Struthio camelus: one gene and its partners. The protein of the gene in region 1 binds, or shares a complex with, the protein of each later gene. Links are inferred from orthologs where the notes say so. Each region holds a gene or a part of one and is shown on either strand. Other genes may lie near its edges.

Region 1 (7,288 bases):
TGACACCGTGTAGATGATGCTGTCGGCTGTCATGTTCTGGAGACACAAGGCAAGCAGTGGTGGCATCGCCCAGGAGGGCAGGGGAAGTGGCACTGAGCCTGACCCCGCCAGCCCTAGCCTGGGGTGCCTCGGCCCTGTGGGACTGCTTGGTGTTGTGGGCTGCACAGGGCTGAGCTGCTGTCCCTGCTCACGCCGAGCGGGGGGCCAGATCTAGGTTCCCCCTCACCTTCTGTGGGGCTTCCTAGGAGCCAGGGCTGTGACCATCGGGGAGGGTCAGGCTCAGACCCATAGCCTGTCTGCACCCCGAACCGGCCTCACCCCAGCCTGGGTGGAGAGGTGGCTCAGGCACTCCCTGATCGACTCATGGCAAGGGCAGAGTCCCAGCCCTCCCCAGCGCCCAGGCCTGGCACGGAGGCACCCACCCAGGAACAGCCCTGGCACGTGCTGCTCCAAGATCCAGCCTTCCCCGGTGCGCAGTCACCCCCTCCCAGGTTCGCAGTCACCCTGCTTCCGGCACACCCATGCCACCGGTGCCAGCCCCGCACGCCTGCCCTCCTCCCTGTGGGAAGCTACCTCCGCAACGGTGGTTTCATACGGCAGGTTCTGGAAGATGGGGGCATTGTCGTTACGGTCCTCCACGATGACCGTCAGTTTTTTGGAGACCTACCGGGAGCAGCGGGCATCAGTGACGGTGCAGAGCAGGGGCAGGGAGATGGGGTGCCCAGGAGAGCTGGGTGCTGCTCCGGCGCCCCACGTCCCCACGGCTCTGCACCCGTCCGGCGGCGCAGCGTTGCCCCGGCACCCTTCACCACTGGTCCTTGTCCACGCTGAGACCCTGCTTGGCCCCAGCTGCTGCCACAGCCACCCCCTGCCACACCGCGACCCCGGCACTCACCGCGTCGTTCTGCCCGTCGGACACTGTGATGGTGAGCGTGAGCCTGGCCAGGGACTGTGGGGACACACATGGAGACACACATGGAGACACACACTCAGTCAGAGCCAGGCAGGGCTCAGTCCTCCCAGCCACCACCCCTGGGTGCGCTGCTCCCCCTGGCCGGCTCTCCCTCCCCGAGCTGGGGTTGGGGGCCAGGGAGCTGGTGGCAAACGTCCCTCGCTCCCTGCCCCAGCCCTGGGCTCCCTGACGTGCACCTCTGCCTGCAGCCTCCAGCCCGTGGCGGTTCCCCCGGCACAGCCCGGAGCTGCCCATGGCCTTGCCCCACGGCAGGGACCCACGGTGCTGCACGAGCAGCTCTCCCAGAGGACTCCTCGCTCTGCTGTCTGTCCCCCCAGAGCCCGCCAGTGCCCGAGATGCCAGCTCACAGCTCGGGGCCGGGGCCTCTGCCCTCACCTCACGGTCCAGGAGGTTCTTGAGCAGCACTTTGCCCGTGTGGGCCTCGACAGAGAAGTAGAAGGCCTCTGACCCACTGATGCTGTAGGTGAGTGGGTCCCCGTCCGCATCAATTGCCTGCAACTGGAAGGCCTCCTCGCCTGGGCACAAGGGCAGCGTCAGCACCCGCCCAGGGCTGCCGGGTGTGGGGGGACGGCTGGGTGCTCCCCCGGCACCCCAGGGCCTCTCCTCATCCGGGCAGCTCTGAAGCTGCCCCACTCACCAATCTTCAGGTCCTCTGGCACGTACACGAGGGTCATGTTGAAGTAGGGGGCTGTGTTCCCTGAAACTGCAGCGAGGACGTGTGCTGAGCACAGCCCTGAGCTGGCCTCTGCCCGGGCCCTGCACCGCAGAGCCAGCAGAGCCTGCCCAGCCCCAGCGCTCAGCTCCTGGAGGTGCTTTGAGTCCCGGGGGGCCAGGGAACCCCCCAGCCTGCTGTTTCTCACCCTCCCTCCTTGTGTCGTCCCCCACCTCCCAGGTCCAGGCCACCCCTGCTCCCTGGGGTAGGAGGATAGCCGCTGGGTCCTCAACACTGGTGCCAAGGGGGTGGGCACCTGTTTTGGGGGTCCCGGCTGCCCTCAAGGAAACAAGGACGAGAGCCGGGGGCCTCAGGCACCTCCAGCGCTTCCCACCCACCCTGGCAAGCCACCAAGCAAAGTCCTCACCTGCCGCCAGGAAGAAGGGGAACAGCACCAGCACGCGCCCTGCCATCCTGCTGGCAAGCCTGCGGGCACACATGGGAGACCCAGCACCTCCGGGTCAGCAGCCGGCCTCTCCCGCCGGCCGCCCCGGCCCCTTCCTGGGGGGCAGCGCCCCAGGCAGGGGGACCCAGCTCGGGTGAGCTGAGCGGGACTGAGTGTACCGGGGAGCAAGACGCCAGGCTCCATGCTGTCCCCAAATCTGTATGGGGCAAGCTGCGCCTGTTCACAGCCCACCACGGGCTCTGGGGCCACGGGCAGCCCCCAGGCACGGGGACAGCCCATCCCGTAAGCCCCGGAGGGCTCGGTTGGCCGGGGGTTCGGCTGTCCCGCCGGGAAGCTGCTGGGGAGAGCCCACGCAGGCGTCCCCCAGGCCCTCCCAGCCCCATGGCGCTGGGATGCTGGAGCCACCCGTGTCCCCAGGCTGCAGCAGCCATTTGGGAGAGCCTGGGATGGGACTGCTGCTCTCCTGGGGTGCCAGGTCCCACCCATAGGAGCCTGGACACGGGGCGCTCGGAGTCCAGGCACAAGCTGTAACACCGCCGCGGCTGCCCCCCTCCTCGGGCCACGGCCCGCAGCTCTTCTCTGCCGCCGGACACCCACCGCCTCCCGTCACCGCTGGACCGCGGGGGCTGGGGCCGGCATCCCTTACCTGCGGCCGGGTCCGCGGGGATGCTGCTGGGCAGCTGCCTGCACCCACACCCTGGCACCGCGGGGGACCTTTGCCTCCTGCTGTAAACAGGTTCATCAATCATTAACTGGAATTAGGGAGTGAGAAATCCATTTTCACCTTCCTCCTTCCTCGAGCTCATCCCCCACCTCCCGGGTCCGGCCTGGCCCCGTGCTCGCTCCTCAGCCGCAGCCCCCCAGCCCCCCGCGCTGGCTGCTGTCCCCGCGGCTCCCGCGGGTGCCAGGAGCGCGGCAGGGCCCACGGCGGGGCGGAGGGACTCCAAGCAGGCCAGGATGGAGGGGACCGCCCTCTGAAATGGGTTGAGGGCACTGGGGATGGACCCTGTCCCCTGGGTCGGGGACAGCTGGCTCCCGCTGGGGCAGGGGGTGAGCGGAGTGGCTGCCGGGGCGGGAGCCCGGGGCCCTGCAGCCCGTGCCTGCTAGCTCCTCTCTCCTTCCTGGGGAGCTCGGGGGGCTCAGCCCGGCCTCCCTGACCTACTTGGGGCCGGCCGGGGACAAGGGCGGATTGTGCGTCTCTGCTCAGGCAGAAGGGGGCCGGGAGGCGGGGGCGCGGGCCTGCCAGCCCCAGCCCCGAGGGCCTGCAGCACCCGGCCGGGGGGGTCCCAGCACCTTCACCCCCTTTTCACCGGGGACCCCAGGGGGCAAGGGGCTGGGCAGCCCTGCAGGGTGCAGCCAGGGGGACTCAAGGGTGCCCCCAGGACATCCAGCCCCACCAGGTACTTTCCCCACATGCTGGGGTGAGGGGAAGCAGGCTGGCCTGGGGCACCCCAGCAGAAACACCCGGGCCGGACCAGGACACCCCAGCACAGCCCCCCGGGCCAGACTGGGACACCCCAACAGAGACCCCAGGCTGGACCAGGACACTCCAGCAGAGACCCCAGGCCGGACCAGGACACCCCAGCAGAGACCCCCGGGCTGGCCTGGGACACCCCAGCAGAAACACCCGGGCCGGACCAGGACACCCCAGCACAGCCCCCCGGGCTGGCCTGGGACACCCCAGCAGAGACCCCCGGGCCAGACTGGGACACCCCAACAGAGACCCCAGGCTGGACCAGGACACTCCAGCAGAGACCCCAGGCCGGACCAGGACACCCCAGCAGAGACCCCCGGGCCAGACTGGGACACCCCAGCAGAAACATCCGGGCCGGACCGGGACACCCCAGCACAGCCCCCCGGGCTGGCCTGGGACACCCCAGCAGAGCCTCCCGGGCTAGATCCGGACACTCCCCAGCGCTGCCCTCCGAGCCGGGCGCGTGCGCTGCCGCTCGAAGCATTACGGCGCAGAGCGCCCCGCGGCCCGGCACGGCGCCTCGCGGTTTCGTCGGCGCCGCTCTTGGGCGTAGTAGGGTTGGGGGGGACGGGCGCGCCCATTCGCGTGGCGGGGGGGGGCTGGCGGCGCGGCGCGGCCGGTTCCATCGGGGCGGCGGGCGCAGGGGTACCATGAGGCGGGGCTGAGGCCGGGCCGAGGCCGGAGCGGGAGCGGCACCGGGAGGGACACCGGCACCGGGAGGGACACCGAGCCCGGCGGCCGCGCCATGCGAGCGGGCTGAGCCGCGGGCGGGCACCGAGCGGCCTTCGTGCGCCGGGCAGAGCGGGCGAGCGGCGGGGGCGGCGCCTCCGGTAGGTGCGGGAGCGGCGGCGCCGGGGCCGGAGCCCGGGTAGGGGGGTGGTAGCATGGGGCGGGCAGCGCCGGTGCACCGGGAAGGGGGCGGGCAGGGCTCGGTGCACCGGGAAGGGTGCAGGCAGGCTGGGTGCACGGGGAAGGGGGCAGGGCCGGTGCACCGGGAAGTGGGCAGGCAGGCTGGGTGCACCGGGAAGGGGGCAGGGCCCGGTGCACCGGGAAGTGGGCAGGCGGGCCCGGTGCACCGGGAAGGCGGCAGGGCCCGGTGCACCGGGAAGGCGGCAGGGCCTGGTGCACTGGGAAATGGGCAGGCAGGCCCGGTGCACCGGGAAGGGGCAGGCAGGCCCGGTGCACCGGGAAGGGGGCAGGGCGCGGTGCACCGGGGAAGTGGCCAGGCCAGCCCGGTGCACCGGGGAAGTGGGCAGGGCCCGGTGCACCGGGAAGAGGCAGGCAGGCTGGATGCACCGGGAAGGGGGCAGGCCCGGTGCACCAGGAAGGGGACAGGACCTGGTGCAGCGGTGCCAGGGGGTGGGGCAGGCCGGCCCGGTGCACCGGGAAGAGGCAGGCCAGGCCCGGTGCAGCGGTGCACGGTGGCAGATGCACGGGCAGGGCCTGATGCCAGGCGAAAGGCAGTGAGCAGGGCTGTGGGGCCGGCGCACGGCGGGCGGGTGGCTGCGTGGGGCGGCAGGACCCGCTGCTCCGGGGCTGGACGCGTGGGGCAGGCGCAAGGCGGTGGGTGTGCTGGGGTGGCTGCCGCCGGGGACGGGCGGAAAAAGCCCCCAGCTCTCTGGGAGCCCCCCAGGGAGAGCAGGGCCGCGCCGGGCGCCTCGGGTCTGCTCGGGGCATCGGGGAGGGCAGCAGAGCTGGGGCGGGCTGCGCCGGGCGCCCGCCTCCTTTTGGAGCCCAGCGGCGCTCTCGTCCCTTCTGCGGGGGCTGCCGGGCCGCCCTGTTTCTGCCCCGCCGTGTCTCCGGCTGCGCAGGAGTTGTTGGCTTGCGTCGAGGCTGGGTTTTGTGTCGCTGACTCGAAGGGCACTTTTTATAGGACGAGATAAAAGTGCTCCGTCTGCCGCTCCCGTTCCCAGCGCGGCGCTGCTTGACCTGAAATCGGTCATCTCCAGCCCCGCGCGGGGTGAGCGCCGTGTTGCGTGAGGAGGGACGGAAGGGGAAGTGGCGAAACTCTTGAGAAAGTCGTAAATGGAGAAGCTGCTTGGAAATAAATAAACCCTTAGACGGTGTTGCGTATACCACGATCGCAGGCGGTGTGCGTGTGCCAGGCTGGGCTCACGAGCAGCCTCGTCCCACAGAGGTTGTGTGGGAATGGGGGTATCCGTAGCTTGGGATGTGCGAAACCTACAGCCTGAGCTCTGCAGGCCTGCAGGATCTCTGGGTTTGGTGCTGCGCGCCAGGGTTTGCTTCCTCAGGCAGAAGTTCAGCGGCTGAACTCTGCTGGCAGCCTGCGCCATGGTGGATGCTGTCTCTCCGCTGTCGGGCCAGCACGTCTTCCTACAAGTGCGTCTTGGTTTTGTTGCGGCATCTCGGATGCAGACTGCGCCCCGGGAGCCCTGCACCAGCCCCTTGCCTCTCGGACAGCCGGCTGAGCGGGTCTCGCCCGCGCGTCTGCAGCTCCGGAGCTTCGTCCTGTGCCTTCCTCCTCGCCACCGTCCTGCGTCGCTGCCCCGTTCGGCCTCTCCTCCCACCTCCCCTGTGCCACCTGCACCTGTTTTGGCTCCTTCACTGGCTCCCGAGGACCCGAGTCCCCTGGGAGGCGCAGCTCCCGCGTGCAGCGGTGACGCCGTGCCCTGGGGAGATGCGCAGGTCAGAGGCTGCGGAGGCCGAATCCGTCCCTGTGGCAGGAGCGCTGTGCGCGGCCGGGGCGATGGGTGGAGGAGCAGGCGCGAGCCTGGCCTTGCCGGCTGTCGGATGGGAGCAGGCTGCCGTCTGATGTCACTGCAGTGCATGGTGGGTAATTATGCACGTTGCAATGAAAATAATAAGGCCGGCTCCATAGCGGCGTCTAAAAATACTGCTAATGCGGAGCGCCTGCTGGGTGCCTTTGTTTGTCACCTTTGGGTGTTTGCTTTGAAGCTGGCCAGGCTGCAGGAGCTGTGCTCTGCGTCTGCAAGTCCCTCGGGCTGTGGGATTTGGTTTGGCAGGTGCCCTGCAGCCCGTCTCGATCCCTCTGCTCGGGTGGCAGTGCCAGCAGGGCCGGGGCAGGTGTTGGCATGGGAGGCGGGAGCCGCCTGGGCTCAGGTGTGACTCCCCTCTGCACAGAGCCCTGCTGCACAAGGAGTCGCAGCCAGGGTGCGGGGCTTTGTCCCCCCCAAACCTTGCTTGGAACTGGGGCGCTCTGACTGGTGGCTGTTCCTGTGTCCCAGGGACCTACCCTGAGGCCGCCTTGCAGAGATGTGACCACGACCATGCTAGCCTGCCCTCGGGCAGACTGGCAGAGGTCAGGGTTAGGGCCCATGCAGCATGGTCTGTCCATCACCGGCTTTGCTCAGCCAGGTCAGAGCACCTTGTGGCTGGCGCTGCTGGGCTGTCCCTTTGGAGCTATACCTGCGGTCTGTCCTGGCACTAGCAGGACAGGAACCACCTCCTAGTCTCTCACTGCTTTCTGGATGAATGAAGGTCTAAGGGAGGGATGTGTGTTCGGAGTGAAGTGGTGTGATGGCGGGCACCTGGGCACTGGCCCTGGGCTGGAGCAGCCTGGGGTGACACAGGCGTGGTTTGCTTGAAGCCACCTCTGGTACGTGCCATGCCAGTCCTGTGGCCTGGGCACGCTGCGGGGATGAAGAAGGGACCGTGCCCTCCACCAGGGGCAGGCTGGCTGCTGCCGCCAATGCCAGCGTGGGGGCAGAGCGGGAGCCGGGTGGTGATCTCCACTCCGTGGGC
Region 2 (7,745 bases), on another chromosome or scaffold:
CTTGCATTCATTTCACGCTGAACTGCTGCCTGCAGATTAGAATTGGTTTGAGTCTTTTCACTCATACTTGGTAGGATCAATATTAGCAATGGTTCAGAACAGCACGTGAATCTTCTGTGCCCGATAACCAAGGCACTCACCATATTCCAAAATCCTTAATAACTTCAGGGGTCAAATTTACAAAGAGAATTTCCTCTCTTGGGAGTTTTAAACATTTAAGTGTCTTGGGGGATTTATTCCACGGCCCTTGTGTTATGGATGAAATGGTGTGTCCTGTCACAGAATTTCCTTCAGGTGTTGATCTCTGGCTTTGCATATCACTGGGAGAAAAGCACTAACATATCTGAGGAGCGCTAAATCTGAGAACATCCTTCAGACTACAATGCCACAGGCGGGAGATGAGGGAGACTGCGGTCCCTGTGGACCCAGACACAGAGCTGCTCACACAGAGAAACAACAGCAAATCTGAGCGCAGGCATTGCTGCAAGGAGGTGACAGCTCAGGATCAGTTTTTGACTTAGACATATGGAAAATGTGTACCTATTTCTGCTTTCTGGCTCTGCCCGAGGGAACTGCCTGCCTGTGGTAGAGCATGCCCTAGAAGCCAGATTCCTTAATCCCCAATTTAGCAATCGGGCTACGTTGTCCTGCGTCTGGCTCAGGAGTGCCTAGAAGTGCTGGGTCATCCGTCCCCCCAGGTCTCTTCATAGCCGTTTGCTGTTTCTTTTCCTTCCAGCCTTTGGCTCTCAACTAATTCACAAGCTAGAGAGGTGATTCCCTACTCAGGGCGGCTTTGGATAAAGTCTGACATCTACTTTGGGTTCTCATACTCCTCTTTTCTCTCCTTTCCCAAGTGTGAGGAAGGAGGCAAAAGTGCTCACAAAAGTGAGCAGATCTGCTACTTGCTGTCTGCTGCTTGCTCTTGCCTCTGGTCGTGTATCTGCACAGCAGGCAGAGAGAAGATCTCTTACTGCCTGGGAAGACAAACTGTTTAAAGATGAAAGGGAGTTGTTGTTAATATTGCCACATTTTCTAGAGGCCGACTGTGTTGCAGGCTTCAGAGTCCTAAAATCTGCAACAACTCTAAAGAAAACCATCCTGTGTCTGAGTGCCTTTGTCAGGAAACCCCTGAAACCACCTCTACTTCAAGGAAAGGAAGAATTTGTTAAAAATAATCAAAATATTTTCTCACAAGAAAACATTGCTGGCCTGTAGAACAGGGAAAATCTTCCACAGTTCAGCTCTCTCCAGTGGCCAAGGAGGGATGAGTAAGACTACAGCGCTGTCTCTGACTGCCTCAGTCTATGGACTGTGTCAAGGAATCTTGGATTAAAATAGCGGTGAATGCATATGTTTGAAGATTTTGAGGGCAACACTATCCCAAAATTGTCCTATACCAAGAAAAATAGAGTCAGAAATATACTGAGTAACAAATACGTAGGAATTTTGATCTTTGTGTCATCTGCTGTGACTTCTATCAACATATATGGTAGATTATATATTTTTCCCTCAGATTCTGAAGATTATCTTGTTATTGTTTCCTTAGCTAGATGTTCTGTCTGTGTTCACAGACAAACCTGTATTGATTCTAGGTATTTCCGTGGAGCTGTATTAATTATACAAGTTGAAAATCTGTCAGTCTATTTTTGCTGCTTTTGGGGACACAGCAATAACCATACAGTCCAAAGGTCTTTTTTGTTGTGCTATTACAACCACACCTGAGCTCAGTGAGCTATAAAGCAAATCTATGACATGCCTATTCATAGTCTGTATTTTCAGTTCTATTTTTAAGAAAAGAAAACCGAAATACATCCAAATAGCTGTTCAACTTTTTCCTCTAATCTTCTTTCAGCTATTACAAGTGAAAATACAGGTCAATTTAATCTTCATCTCAGCCCAGAAAAAAACATTTTCTTTACTGTATCTCTGCACATGAAAAGCTTCTCTTTTATTAGATCTTTTTGCAGAACCACAGCATAAAAGATAGGCTTCAAGCAGAGAGAGTACAGAGGATGATACGGGGAGCTAGTGACCTTTTCAGTAATATATTTTAAGCATGTAGTATGTGTAAATGATTCCAATCAGAAATATTACTACTAGCAGGTACACCTGTATAAAACCTTCCTTTATTTTTTTCTTTTTTTTTAGTTTGCAAAGATCCTACCTGAGCCCCTGAAACAGTATCATGAACTTTTTAGCATGGTAGTAGTTGGTAATGATATAAAGAGCAGAGAAATAACAATTTTAGGTATTACCATCTCAAAACTATCAGTTGCGACGCCTCAGAAAAGCATTAGACCTTCACAGGCATTGACTGCACTTTGGAAGCAAACGACAGAGCTCTTTTGCTCAAAATGTTTCAAGACATTTCTTTATAGAGCTAGTTTCAAAGTATGTTATTCTCAAAGATGTAAGTTAACCTCTACAGAAGACAAACAGTAGTTTTTCTTTGACCTCCATTAAGGCCGGATTAGGTCCCAGACCCTGTTGCTACCGACTGCTGCCTGCAGACTCCATGTCCGTGACAGGGTCCCAGGGCTGTTGATGTGGCTTCGCTGACCTGCCGCTACAGGGCTGTTTGCAGGTTCATGGCCTAAACCAAGGTGAACGAAGAGACACAACCGTAGGAAGAAATTACCAGGATATTCAGCCTTTTGGGTCTGACACATTGGCAGCACTAGAAATGCTACACGCTGTTTATAGCTTTGTGCCACAAGCTCTAAGAAACTGAGCCCGATTCACTTACCCCCTCCGACATACAACTTCCAGAGCTTCCAGATACCCATGGTACGCTGCCAGGAGGGTGGGCGTCATCCCATCCTCATCCAAAGTATTGAGATCTTTTCTAGTGGCTTCTTTCAGGAGCTCCAAATTGCCATCAGCTGCTGCTTTGTGATACCTGGTGGACATTTTCAGTAATTTCTGGTTTCCCAGAGCAGGCCTGAACGACAGCCAGACAGGACAGCCACCCTTCCATTACAGGGATAGTTAATCAATAATTACAAGTTGAGACGTCATCCTCAGGATGGAAATGAGGGAGGCAAAGTTCATCCTAGCAGGAAAGTCGTCTGGAACTGTGCCTAAGAAACAAGGCAGCGGTATGTTTAATGCTTTCATTTTCTGAGAGGTGACTCTGCATTCCCCATTTACTGCAGTATTTGACTATTTCAACATAGAGGGGACTCATTCATCTTCTCTGTGTCTTAGCTGCTTTTGCCTAACTGTTCTGGGACAACTGACTTGAAAAGGAGATTTGCCGTTGATGTCAACAAGACCAAATTTCACCCTCAGTAATAAAGTATCCTTGATTTTTGATAGGATGAAATACTCTGTAAGCAGTTATTTTTACCAGTGAAGTCCTTTGTAACCTATCATTTATTGGGTTACTACATCTAAAAACAAGTCTCTCCCCTGCAAAACTGCCCACATCCCTGGAGCTGTTCTGCGTAGGCAGATCAACGTGTGGGTTGGGAACAGCCCTGGCAGGGCTGCGGTGGCGCTCAGCCAAAACTGGCCAGCGGGTCCACCAGTCCCAGCAGGCAAAACCACCGTCTAATGTGTGGTCCTTTTACCTCAAATTCCCTTTCATCAGAAAATCTTAAAGCACTTGACAAATACTAATTCATCTTACAGGTACTGTTATCTCCATTTTAGCTGCAGGTGAAAAAATTTGAATGATTTTCGCAAAGTGGCACAGGGAATTCAAGAAGGAGAAACCCAATGGGCCTGCGCCCACTGCCCTGATCTCCACTGTGCTCCTCACCTGGGAACAGGCCCCATTTTCACATATGTACCACTTTCTTTAGAAATGTTTCCCATTGATTTCACTGGAATTGCTTGAGTGATTATCAGCTACCTCTCTAAGTAAAGGCTTATAGAATTGGACCATAATTCTAATTCTGAGATTCAAAAGAATAACTAAGTGAAAAATAACTAAAATGGTAGTTTTAGAACAGTAGTTGAGGGAGAAATCAGTAAGAGACTATAGATAGCTTAATAAAATGCTGGAGGCTGTTATTCTGGTCACATTCATGACAGCTGCCAGATAAATGTTACTTTTTGTCAAGCTGTTTTCTACGACTAACTGAATTAACCTGTATCTTAGAGAACGTACTCTCGGCAATTAGCAGTGAGGTTTTGTTGCTTATTACGTCCCCTGCTACAGAGGCAAAACGAGCAATCGCAAACGAAGTCATTGTCTTGAATTGGTGCAATTACTGAGTGGAGTGCAACCTCATTTATTTCCCATAATGCCCTCTACCTAATTCGTGGGAGACCTCTCCAAATGGGCTTTCTCGCTTAATTATTTTCTCAGGCAGGGATTGAAGAGCTCTTCAGGAACAAGCTTTTACCTACATTTTCCTCCGTGAAGACAAGGAGAGTCAGTCAGGTCCTGTAACTGATTTTAATCTTTGAATAAACACGTCTACATAGGAGTAACCTAAAGTCCTGGTTTTCCTTCACGTCGTCCACAGCGGCGGCCGTCCCCAGGTGCTATCCTGCAGTGTCAGGCAAGTGGGGAAGGACCGTGCTTCACCCAGGCCAGCCTCCAGTCTGGCATTAGAAGACAGTTTTGCCTTCAGCCCTTTTTCCAGTTCCCCGCGTTGCCATCAACGCTTTTCTAACCAAAAACGCAAAGCTATTTATTCCATTTTCTGTTTAACCAGGCTCAGCACTGGGTTAAATTTACAACTACTAGAAAAAACATTGCAGGATGAAGACAGTGATACGTACACTTTGTTATGAATATATTAGATTGGCTGTTCCTTGTTGCCATTGAATTTTATTTGCTGTACTGGGTATTGTAAGCTCTTAGTCTCTCACGAGTGGGTCACGAAGGCAGGTATTGCACATGCCACCAGTGCCTGGTATGAGAGAGAAGACAAGGTTTTTTCCCGTACGGTTAAATTTCACACTCTTAGCAACACTAGCAACACCCATGAACGCGAGCTCGTGGCAAAGGAGAGTTTTGTATTCTGTTTTTCAAGACTGCTGTTTTCTACTATAGAAATACCTTCATTAGCTTTTGTGGCAATCAATTTAGCATGCAAAATGGTGATCTCAAAGTGATCTTTATCATGTCATAGGTGCAAATGTTTATTTTAAAAGACAGTTACTTCATCTGACATTAAGTGGAAAACTTTTGTTGCAAGTTCTAACTAGATGTAAAGCAAAACCCATTTCAAGTGGAGAGGTGCTCCAGGACTTTGCAAACTCTCTTGTTATTTATATCACAAAAAGGACATCACAAAAGAGAAAGAAAAGATCAAACAAAATCTCCATCTATTTCTAAAATCCTGGTATTTGTGAATCCTTGCCCCGCCTAAAAACCTCAATTTAAATGCAATAAATGTTTCAACAGCAAATGATGTTAAATTTCTCAGCGTGAGAGAGTTAAATTTCTCAGCCTGAGTGGAGATTTTTCTTCTGAGACTAAGGCTCAAAATTGTGAACTTTTAAAACTCCCTGAGTAGTTAGAATGAAGCTTTTCTTCTGGGGTTTGAAAAGAACTTCCAAACCATTTCACTTCCAATTGAAATGTCTTACCAGGCTCAGGAGAAAGCCTATTGTGATGGTACGTGTTGTTGTAAACTAATGAATTATTTAACTAGCAGTTTTGATTTTTATTATTGGATTTTGTTACGTCTATGATTATTTCTCCAATTTTTTAAGAACTATCTTAAATATGACATTAGCAGTTAAGCAAACTATTTAGGGTTTATTCAGACTTATTTGAAGACTACCATTAGTTATATTGTTCCGGATAACGAACCATTAGTTATGTTGTTCCAGATAATTCAGAGCCCAGTCTTGCTTCATGCCTTGGGAGAAAAACAGAGATGTTGTTGTGCCATCTGTTTTGCATGAGGTCTTATCTAGCACAGCATTTCCTCATCGCAACTTTTATAAGTGGCAAATGTGGTATGGTAAAAGCCGTACAGGGGGAGGTCTCCTCCGCTCCTCTAATGAGATCCCACTGGAACTAATGGGCCTTAGAGGAGAGCGGAGCTGGTCACACGGGGTGATCGCGGTTACACAATTCAGAGATGACGACGACAGTTAAACAACAATAAAAGCTTATTTCTTCACTCCTGATACAGGCACAACGCCTACCCCGGCGCCCCAGGATCCTGTCGCTATATGTAGTCTGGAGCGACCCTGTCTCCGCGGAGAGGCTGGGCGAGACGGGCCGGCGCCGACCGTGACCCCGTCCCGCGGTGAGCTCGGCTCGGGCACAGCCAGGCTCCAGTCCGGCGGTGCCGGGGCAGCCCCACGCTCTGCCCGCCCGGGTCGTGTCGGGAGCAAGGCCATCATCCATCGGGAAAGGTTATCCCCCAACTGGGAAGGCAATAACAGTGGCGGTACCAAAGGCGCGTCCCTCCTCAGGCGCGCCTCCGCCTCACCTCGCGCCCCTCCTCGCCGCCCTGCCTGCTGGGAACGGGCGAGCAGCCCGGGGGGCGTTCGTGGCCCTGCAAGCAGTGATGCTGCTTGTCGCGGCCTCGCGGCCCTTGGAATAGGTGTCCTAGCTGGGAGCGCTCAGCGGCAGCAGGTGTGGCCTGGCGTCGAGGCTTTTTGCGCTGCTGACGCCTCCTTCTTGCCTCTTTTTCCTTAATAACTTCCTTAATAACTTCAGCAGTGCTACAAATAGTCTCATGGAGAAGGAAAGTGAGCCCTGCTCTCGCTGCTGTCTGAAATGTTGTCCTACCACCAGTGTGTCAGAAGAGGACATCCAAGAGGACGTGAGCCATGCTCTCCAGGGTCAGTATGCGATGCCCTCGCTTCTGGGGTGTTCAGCGCTGGTCTTGGGTAATGCCTTTTTTCCCAAAAGTCAGAAAGTCAAAGAAGTAGAAGAGAAAAGCAGAGAAACAGGAGAGGAGACCTGCCAAGCTTTTGCAGCAAAAAAAAATGAGAGCCACGGAGCTGTTTTTGCTCTTCAGAGCATGAATTAACTGTTTAGCTATGTAACGCAGACCAAAATTATTCCTACAGGTTCAACAATTCTGACGGGTGGAACTGAATTTTTTGAGAAGAGGGACGGCTGTGCTTCCTCTGTAGCTCAAGTCGCACACTCTGAATTCAGACATGTTAAATGAAGCAACAGCCAATTATCTTAGCGCGCTTTGATGAACCGCATCCTCCAAACTTACGTACTGCCCGATTGCTATTAAGAGCTGCTAACGTGTGCTGCAGGGAAAATCCAGTTGTGGTGACCGCGGCAGTGGCATCGCTCTGCCTGTCAAACGCTGTCTGGTCCGACACCATCTTTCGCCTAACACAAGCCACAACCTGCTGCGAGGCATCTGAGGGTGGGCAAAACCCTTAGTGAACTCTAGCCGGCAGGGACGGTCTCTCCTCCTGCTTAGAGACCATGCGCTGCCTCTGCTCAGGCCTCCGCAGCCTTCCGCCAAGCTGGCAGCATCACTCAGACTTGAGGCGAGACTGAGCTTTCGCCAGCCGGCCTCACCCGCCGGCACCGGCCCAGGGTCAGCCAGGCTCTGGGAGCACCATCCACAGCTCCCCAGGTCTGAGAGTCTTTCCACCAACTTAATGAAGCTGTGAATCAGGGCAGGGAAACTGGGTAAGTTTTAACTTTGCGTCGGATTTGGTCCTGCCTGAAGGTACTTCGTTTGCACGGTTCTCTCGAGGGCGGGCACCTGAAGCCCTTTTTTCTCCCTGACTGTATTAATTAAACCCAACCTAATAAAAATAGATATGTTAAACTAGCGTATGGCTTCAGAGTTTGT
Region 3 (7,576 bases), on another chromosome or scaffold:
GCTTGACACAGTTATTTCCCGCGCCTCAATACAATCGTGTCAGGAAACACTGTTGCAACAGGGAGTTCGCATTTGCGGTTCTGCGCAGCAGCAGCCGGGGCTCAGGAGCGTCCAGAGCCACCTTAACTTTCCAGCGACGTGCATTTGTGCATGTGCAGTCATGTGCAAATGCGCTTCGTACATGGAGCGGCTCGGTCTGCCTGGCACGTCGTTTTGTCACTTACCTAGTCAAGTAAGTGCTCTGTAGAGCTCATGATCGTGTGAGCAAAGTAAGCTCAAAGAGCACTTTTTAAGGAAATGAATGGAAAAAAAGGTATATACCTTTAAGGGATGCTTTGCCGTAGCAGTTTACAACTGTCTCAGACTAAAGTTTTTAGTGCCTTTTTTTTTTTTTTTGCTAGTGAATGGGATTTCTCTGAGGTAAGTTCCAGAAAAGACAGTAGTGTAATGTTATGTTCTATAGTAGTTAAACGTGAACTGGTAATAAAACCCTTGACTAAAGAATTGTTAGAATGAAGTAGAGGGGCTGCAAATAACCAGCTATATACGAAATGAAGTCCAAAAACTTTAAGGACCTGGATACTGTGTACTTATGACTACTGGTATCTAGCAAGTTATTTCTGCCTTGCTACCTATTATTGTATAACTCCGCAGTGGGTTATGCAACTTGTCTATAAAGTCTGGGCAAACGGTTACCATCTTGAACCTTAAACCTTATTCCTTTTCGTCTCTGCTATAATTCATGAATCATCCTAGTCCCACCCTACTAACACAAGGAAGCTTTATCACCGCCATTCATTGGTGAAAGTAAATATGATGCATGTCTACATGAAAATGGTTTATCTGAGTAAGACAATATTGAAGCAGGTGTTCTCCTTTAAATTGTTTTGTATCAGCATGCTTTTAGTGGCCTCTGTAGAATTTTAATATCTTGTGTACTTGCTTTTGCTGTGTCAAAACAATGAAAGTGCACAGCTACAGGACCTGAGTTTCCGGTCAATTATTTGCCACTTCCATTTTGTTTTTGTTTCTCTATAATTTTAATCAGTCCTCCCTATCAACTAAGCAGCAAGCCTAGAGATTAATTATTCACAAGTATATTGGCCAGTTCTTCCATTTTCTGAAATAGTTTCCAAAGGCTTCGTAGTTCAAGTACAGTTTTATAGTAATTTTTGAAAGCTGATGGATTAGGCTACTGCTACAGTAGTGCCTCACTGTAATAAGCACTTTTGGTGTGGAAAATTCCAGGGTTTTTTTTTCACAGTTTTTATTCTACTAAATAACCTGCTATAGATCTCTTGCAGACTTTTTGTATGTAGGTGCAATTTTTGTGATGATTTCTTATTAATTTAAATGGACAAAACTGTGTGATATATGTAGTAAGAAATAGAGCATAAGCAACTTTTCATATGTATTCTGGGATTGAGAGTTACACAAGAACTATGTGAAAGTTGCACAACTGCTATAGTATCCTTAAATAATCAATATGAAATACCTTTATATTAAGAACATCCATTAAGTGTCTACCTAAATAACATATTGCTTCTTAATAGAGGTATCTGCAGCTGTTTATCCTAGCATTTCTGTATCTGCTACAAGATATGATTTTGTAAGATGTGTAATCACATGAGCTTTGACCTTTCATATAAGAGACTACAAATACAGTACCTAATGTCTTACGCTAAACAATCAGGACACATGTTCATTTTATCAAGTCTCCACACAACTGATTTATTTTTCAGTTGGTAAATTGTGCTGTGTTTTAGAAAGTGCGGCAGATGTCATGCTGTTCACTATTTACTGTTTTGTGTTTCAAGTTCAATGGTGCATGTGTTGAAGCTCACTGAGGAAACAATAAATCGATGTGTCCATTTATGCATATTCATTCTTGCTTACAGAATCTGTCTCTATGTCAGTTTTCTTAAAAACATATTTGAACCTGAAGCCTTTAACAATTACACCGATGTTAAAATGAACTATTAGATTTGACTAGATCAGCAATCAGCTCCGTGTTTTACAATAGCTGGTAGCAAAATGCTTCTGCAGCTAGTGAAAGAAGCCCATAATGGAGAGCTGTGTCATGGCCTGCGCTTATAACCAAGAGGTTTTCTATCACTTGCAGTCTCTGTTTTAATTCCAGATGCTATTTTTATTTAGATAAATGTCTGTTGCATGCTTCTTTGTTTTTAAGCTTGCTATTTCAATACCAATGTAATGGCAATGATGGCACTACTCCAACACTGTGTCCAGATAGAATATCCGAGGAATTACACCAAGAGGTTAGAAACAAGCTTCAAAAATTCACTATGCTGAAGTCAGAGGTTAGGAGAAGTCCATCTTGTTAACCTTGTTGAAGAGATAGGTATGTGTCTTTGTCATAGTTGGTACATTAGCAGAGGAGTTTACTCTCTCTGTGTCATAGTTGGTACATTAGCAGAGGAGTTTACTCTCTCTGTGTGTGTACTTATATAACGCTGAGTACTGGATCCACTCATCATGCACATTACCTTTGTAGGTATGAAACAGAATGGTGTGTTATAGCCCTCCGACACAGAGAAGATGTTTCTGAAAAAATAAGGTTACTCATATTTAACAGACCCTTATGTAAAATAATCAGATAATTTACATACTGGAGGTGGAATAATCTGTCCAAATTTTGCATAGAACTTCAGTTCATTCTAGTCTAAGTTTGTCACTTCAGGATTCCTCTGTAGTCATTGGAGAAAGGATGTAATGAAGTGTCTTCTGCAGATGTCTAGGATGAAGTATCAAGTGGAAGTGCCTGCCTTTATCCATTGACTATGAAGGAATCCCAGTCATATGCTTTAAGCTATATGTCTAACCTACAGATGAGATGAAGCCCTCCTGCTCAGAGTTGGGTAGCTTTCTAAAAGAGATGGTGCAGTTCAACCAGAAGCCATGGGCTTGGTGCACAAATCAGCAGAAATGGTATAAAAGTTGAATATAATGAAAATGAGCAGAATGGACTCTCCTGGGTTTACAGGCTATGAAATCATCTATCCCATGCCTCCACAGTTACATTTCTCAAGAACCAGAGAGCTACTAAAACATTTTACTGGTCCAGGTTACACCATGTTGTCACTGATTTATTGCTTAACCTGTGAGGGCAAGAACTTTTGAGATTTCTGCAGAGTCAGCTTTTAGAAGCTGCTGATGAGACTAGCTAAACTGTATACTTACAATAAGGCTATCCCAAGGAGTTAATTATTTAGAAGAATGGTAAGAGATGGCAGGTGGCTACAATAAAAATGATAGTTGGTGAAATAGGAGGCAGCAGGAGAAGAATGACCTGATTAGAGAGAAGGTCCAGGAAGACTTTCCCAGCAGTCGTGTTCTGAATAGATGAGACAACCAACATCCAGGTAAACTTCACAAGGAAGGAGCAGGTTGCTGGCTTAGAGTGAGAAGTGTGGTAATCAAACAGAAAAGAAAGGCCGAATGTAGTGTGAGAAGAAATTTAGATGCAGACCTTTGCTGCCTAAGGAGGGTGGGAGACGTGCCCACCAGCTAGTGCATGAGAGAAAAAGTACGTTGTTACTGGTTGCTTTCCCAGTCAGAAAGAAAGAAGATGAGGGTTTTGGCCTTTTCTCTGCGAGGGAAACAGGTTGACGTATTTGGTACTCTTCACGAGATCATATAAGCAGGCTTGTACAGAACCATAGTTAGCAGTAGAAGTTGAGTCCCTTAGACCAGGCCCTAAGCTGATTCATGCTGTGAGTATTTTTACTGATGGGAAAGAGAGAAATGAATATTGGACTTAGAAGCAACTCAAGGTGATAAATATAAAACTATGTATGGTATTGGTGAACCAGTCAGTTATGAATGCAAATGTATTATTTCCTTTTAAGGTGTTTTGAAATTCACTGTGAATAAATTAGTTTACTTGCTAGTAAAGCAATCTTGAGTAGGATTCATGCAGTCCTGTCCTGTGTGTAATTTTTCTAGCCTTTAATTGTTTTGAAAGTATTCTCTTCCACAGGATATAATTAGGAGAAAATCACTTATAAGTGGAGTCTGGCTGACTTCAGAGAGCAGAAGGGGTTGAAGAGAATATGAAGCATTTATTTAGTTTAGACTATACTACAAACTGGTGCAAATCTAGAAAGAAAGGAACTTCCTTTAAGTATGCAAATTAGTCTTCAGACTGCACGTCACAGTAATATTAGCCTTTAGGTCACATGTAAATGGTTTTCCTAAACATTAAGCTTGTCTAAAGGAAAATCGTGGTGATGTGAACTCTTACTGCAAGTAAGATCAGTGGGGTTCTTACTGTTGTCACTGAATATAAATTGAGCTCCTCATATCAGATTTCTGTATTTTTTTTAAATTTTATTTTACTGTAATTATCCAAGAACAGGCATTGTAATGTGATACTAGTTTAAGTAAATGTACTATTACTAAGGGAGGAAAGAATAACTAGCCAGTTCTATCACTTCAGAGCTGGAGCGAAGAGGAACAGCAGTGTAGAAGTTTGCATAATGTTTAAGTGAAATACGGAAATCGGTGGTTTGGAGCCACGGAACATAGGTTATAATTATATCAGTGTGATGTTTTTATCTGTGACAGCATGTGCTATGTTAATGAATGGCCAAAAAGGTTTCTGAAAACATTTATTCAACAGTACACTGATTATCAGGTAAGGCAAATGTGATATTATTGTGACAGCATTGCTCTGCTGAGAAGAAATCTAGCATATAGAATGTGTGATTTCAGTATTTACTGCCTTGTTCAATTACTGCAATATTAATTTTAAAAAGTCTTATTGCAAGCTTCGTATTTTGAGATAAAAATACTGTCTTGCAAAAATGTGCTGCTTTATTATTTTTTTTTTTTATAAAAACTTTCCCCTCTTGAAGTCTTTGGACTATGGCTTAGGAATTTGTGAAAGCTTTGTATGTTCAACATTTGTAGCTACTTAGTAAGAAAATTACAATAAAGTCTTTGGATTTTCAGGTTAATCTGCTAATTGACAATGAAGCTGAGAAGGATTACCTTTATGATGTGCTGCGGATGTACCACCAGTAAGATCTAGCTTTATATATGTTTGTGTTGAATTTCACCAATATTTTTAAAATTGAAGGATGAACATTCAATATTTTATGAAAGCAATCTTTCTGAATACCATCTAGAAAATAAAAGTAATAATTTCTAATTCTATGTAACGAAGTCTTATACTTTTGCAGAGTAGCCTGCTGACAAAAAAGGAGTATTTACTGTAGCTAATACTACAGTTTCTTTGTTTTTATGGCTTGTCGGTTTTGTGGACCTTTATTGGGAGGGAAACAAGAATGCAGGTAATAAAGCCGTACTTAGGAAACGGAAGAGAGTATTGATAACATTCATTAATATTTTCAAAGAATGCATATTTATTTTGGTCGGAGGCTTTTGCTGAGTCTGCTTTTTAAAGATTTTTGTAAACTATTCAGATTAAGAATTATTTTCAACTGTTTTATCTGAAAGCTGAAAAAAATTAGGCTGGGCGTCTGTCTAGCATGTTTAACAACTTCGATTTATTAAGACATAATGAAAAGGAAAAACTGTAAGGTGATAGGCCAATTACCAGTCCTTTTACTGAACTGATTTAAACCATGGTTGCTTAGGAGTTATATCACTGCAAATGAGATCAGCATCTGATCCATTGTTTCTCAAAGAATATGAGAATGTATTTTCCACTCATCACAGGCAACTGGCTCTGACGGACATTGTTTCCATTCATATCTTAACTAATAGCATCTCAGCTGAGTGAGATGTAGATGTTTCCATGCAGTGTTTGTACTGAGCTATCATTTTGGGTGTATTCAGCTGCATATCTGATTCTGTTTCAGTCGGGTCTGTCCAATTGTTTCTCCATTCATAAAGCCTGTTGTTTGGAAAGCAGGTTGAGTTGGTAGCTCTTAATTATTTAAAATCTTCTTGCAGTTACAAAATTAACAATGCATATAGTAACTTTTCCTCAATATCCAGAACTGCAACAGCTTTTGAGTAAAACTTCAAATATTGCTGTGAGGATTTATTGATCAAGCTGCTGCTGCTGCTTCTTTCTTTTTCAAATTAATTACAAAGCATTTCAAGGACAAAAATATACACAATTGCTATTGGCATTAATATTTAACATCTGCTTCACTGTGAATAGTGTTTGCAAATCAAAGTATATGGCCTCTAGTCTCATGTAATAGCCATTCCTGATCTGTATTTTCAGTATATATACCTCAAAAATATTTTATGTCAGGAAACCTAATTGGTGAGAGAGGGAACAGCAGATACTGTAGACTAAGTTTAACTGGATGCTACATAGGAATAGCTCCACTTATATAGAGCTGTTCCATGCTTGCAGCTGGGCAACAAAGACCACTTTCTAGAGCTATGAGTATCTCGGTGCTGACAGTATCAAGGATTACTTTGCATAGCTGTCACGAAAACAAATGGCCACAATAGTTTCACTTGTGTAGATTTTGTTAGTGGTTAACTTGGTTAATGACCCTTCAGTTTTGGTTTGTTTTGGTTTGAAACAAATCTTAAAACGGGTCTTTTCTCTATTGGGTATCATGTGATTTCTTCCTGGGTGGAAACAATTGATTAGTCCCCTGAATTCAGGAGAGGAAGGAATTTGTAGCCTTGGAAGGACTGTGAACTAGTAAGGAAATAGAAGTATAGTAGGCAGATATAACTGGTCTGGAAAGTTATTTCCAAACAATCCCATAAGTCTTCTGTTGGGGACTCTGAGAATGAAACTGAAGATGTCTTCTATAAAGATGTGATGTACATCATGTTAACAGATGTAAGGTATAGGAGACTTCAGTTATTTTTAAGGATGTGGTTACTGTTCCTACCTACCTATCTCGTTACAGAGGGTTTAGTTTTTCAAAGACTATTTTGCTTTGGTTTAAACAAGAGCTGCATAAATAACTTTCTTAGTAGGTTGAAGGCATACGCAGATATAACTTGCTCCACACGTAGCTTAAATTAAATAATACTTTGGTATGTTGGTTAGCTAAGCCTTTTTCTCACTGTAATTTTGTAGATCTATGAATCTTCCAGTGCTTGTGGGGGACCTAAAGCTCGTGATTAATGAACCAAGCAGATTGCCTCTGTTTGATGCTATCCGCCCACTTATCCCATTAAAACACCAGGTGGAGTATGATCAGCTTACACCCAAAAGATCACGGTAAGAGAATGCAGATAAGGTAGCGAAGTTCAGATAAATATACGCAAGAAATATTGCCTCATAGAGCTTATTTGAAAAATTACTTGAGCAAAATACCTGTTAGCTCTATAGAGCTGGGCACAATTTTTTGATGTTTGCTATAATTGCCAGAAGTACAGTTTTGAGCTACCTGAAACTGTTTGCCATGTAGTTTAATCTAGTAGAAGCAGGGTATGGGAGTCCAAAAACAAAGCTGAAGCAATCTTTTTTTTTTTTTTTCCTTCATTTTTCCTGCATTTAATAAAAAATTCTCTTACAGCTCTAGCCCTCTAGAAGCATACACAGCTTCCACAGTTGCAGGTGTCTTTCCTTGTTTAAAAAAAAAAAAAAACTTAATGGTTTTAGCAAACA

What was found. Proteins that work in one complex are often made in the same cells at the same time.
Region 2: CDHR2 (region 1) and ANKS4B share a complex: the UniProt entries of both Homo sapiens proteins name them as parts of the IMAC/intermicrovillar adhesion complex. The link is inferred for Struthio camelus from reciprocal best matches to the Homo sapiens genes CDHR2 and ANKS4B.
Region 3: CDHR2 (region 1) and USH1C share a complex: the UniProt entries of both Homo sapiens proteins name them as parts of the IMAC/intermicrovillar adhesion complex. The link is inferred for Struthio camelus from reciprocal best matches to the Homo sapiens genes CDHR2 and USH1C.

The regions. Positions count from the first base shown.
Region 1 is NC_090954.1:10,026,906-10,034,193, forward strand, and holds the start of CDHR2 (cadherin-related family member 2), read right to left. Parts: upstream 3,021-7,288; 5' UTR 2,905-3,020; intron 2,818-2,904; 5' UTR 2,738-2,817; intron 2,112-2,737; 5' UTR 2,099-2,111; coding exon 2,053-2,098; intron 1,677-2,052; coding exon 1,611-1,676; intron 1,489-1,610; coding exon 1,349-1,488; intron 950-1,348; coding exon 896-949; intron 664-895; coding exon 574-663; intron 37-573; coding exon 1-36. UniProt on the Homo sapiens protein: Intermicrovillar adhesion molecule that forms, via its extracellular domain, calcium-dependent heterophilic complexes with CDHR5 on adjacent microvilli. Thereby, controls the packing of microvilli at the apical membrane of epithelial cells.
Region 2 is NC_090956.1:9,588,119-9,595,863, forward strand, and holds the start of ANKS4B (ankyrin repeat and SAM domain-containing protein 4B), read right to left. Parts: upstream 3,004-7,745; 5' UTR 2,911-3,003; coding exon 2,747-2,910; intron 1-2,746. UniProt on the Homo sapiens protein: As part of the intermicrovillar adhesion complex/IMAC plays a role in epithelial brush border differentiation, controlling microvilli organization and length. Plays a role in assembly of the complex.
Region 3 is NC_090946.1:20,461,665-20,469,240, forward strand, and holds the start of USH1C (harmonin), read left to right. Parts: upstream 1-4,573; 5' UTR 4,574-4,588; coding exon 4,589-4,657; intron 4,658-4,974; coding exon 4,975-5,042; intron 5,043-7,042; coding exon 7,043-7,186; intron 7,187-7,576. UniProt on the Homo sapiens protein: Anchoring/scaffolding protein that is a part of the functional network formed by USH1C, USH1G, CDH23 and MYO7A that mediates mechanotransduction in cochlear hair cells. Required for normal development and maintenance of cochlear hair cell bundles.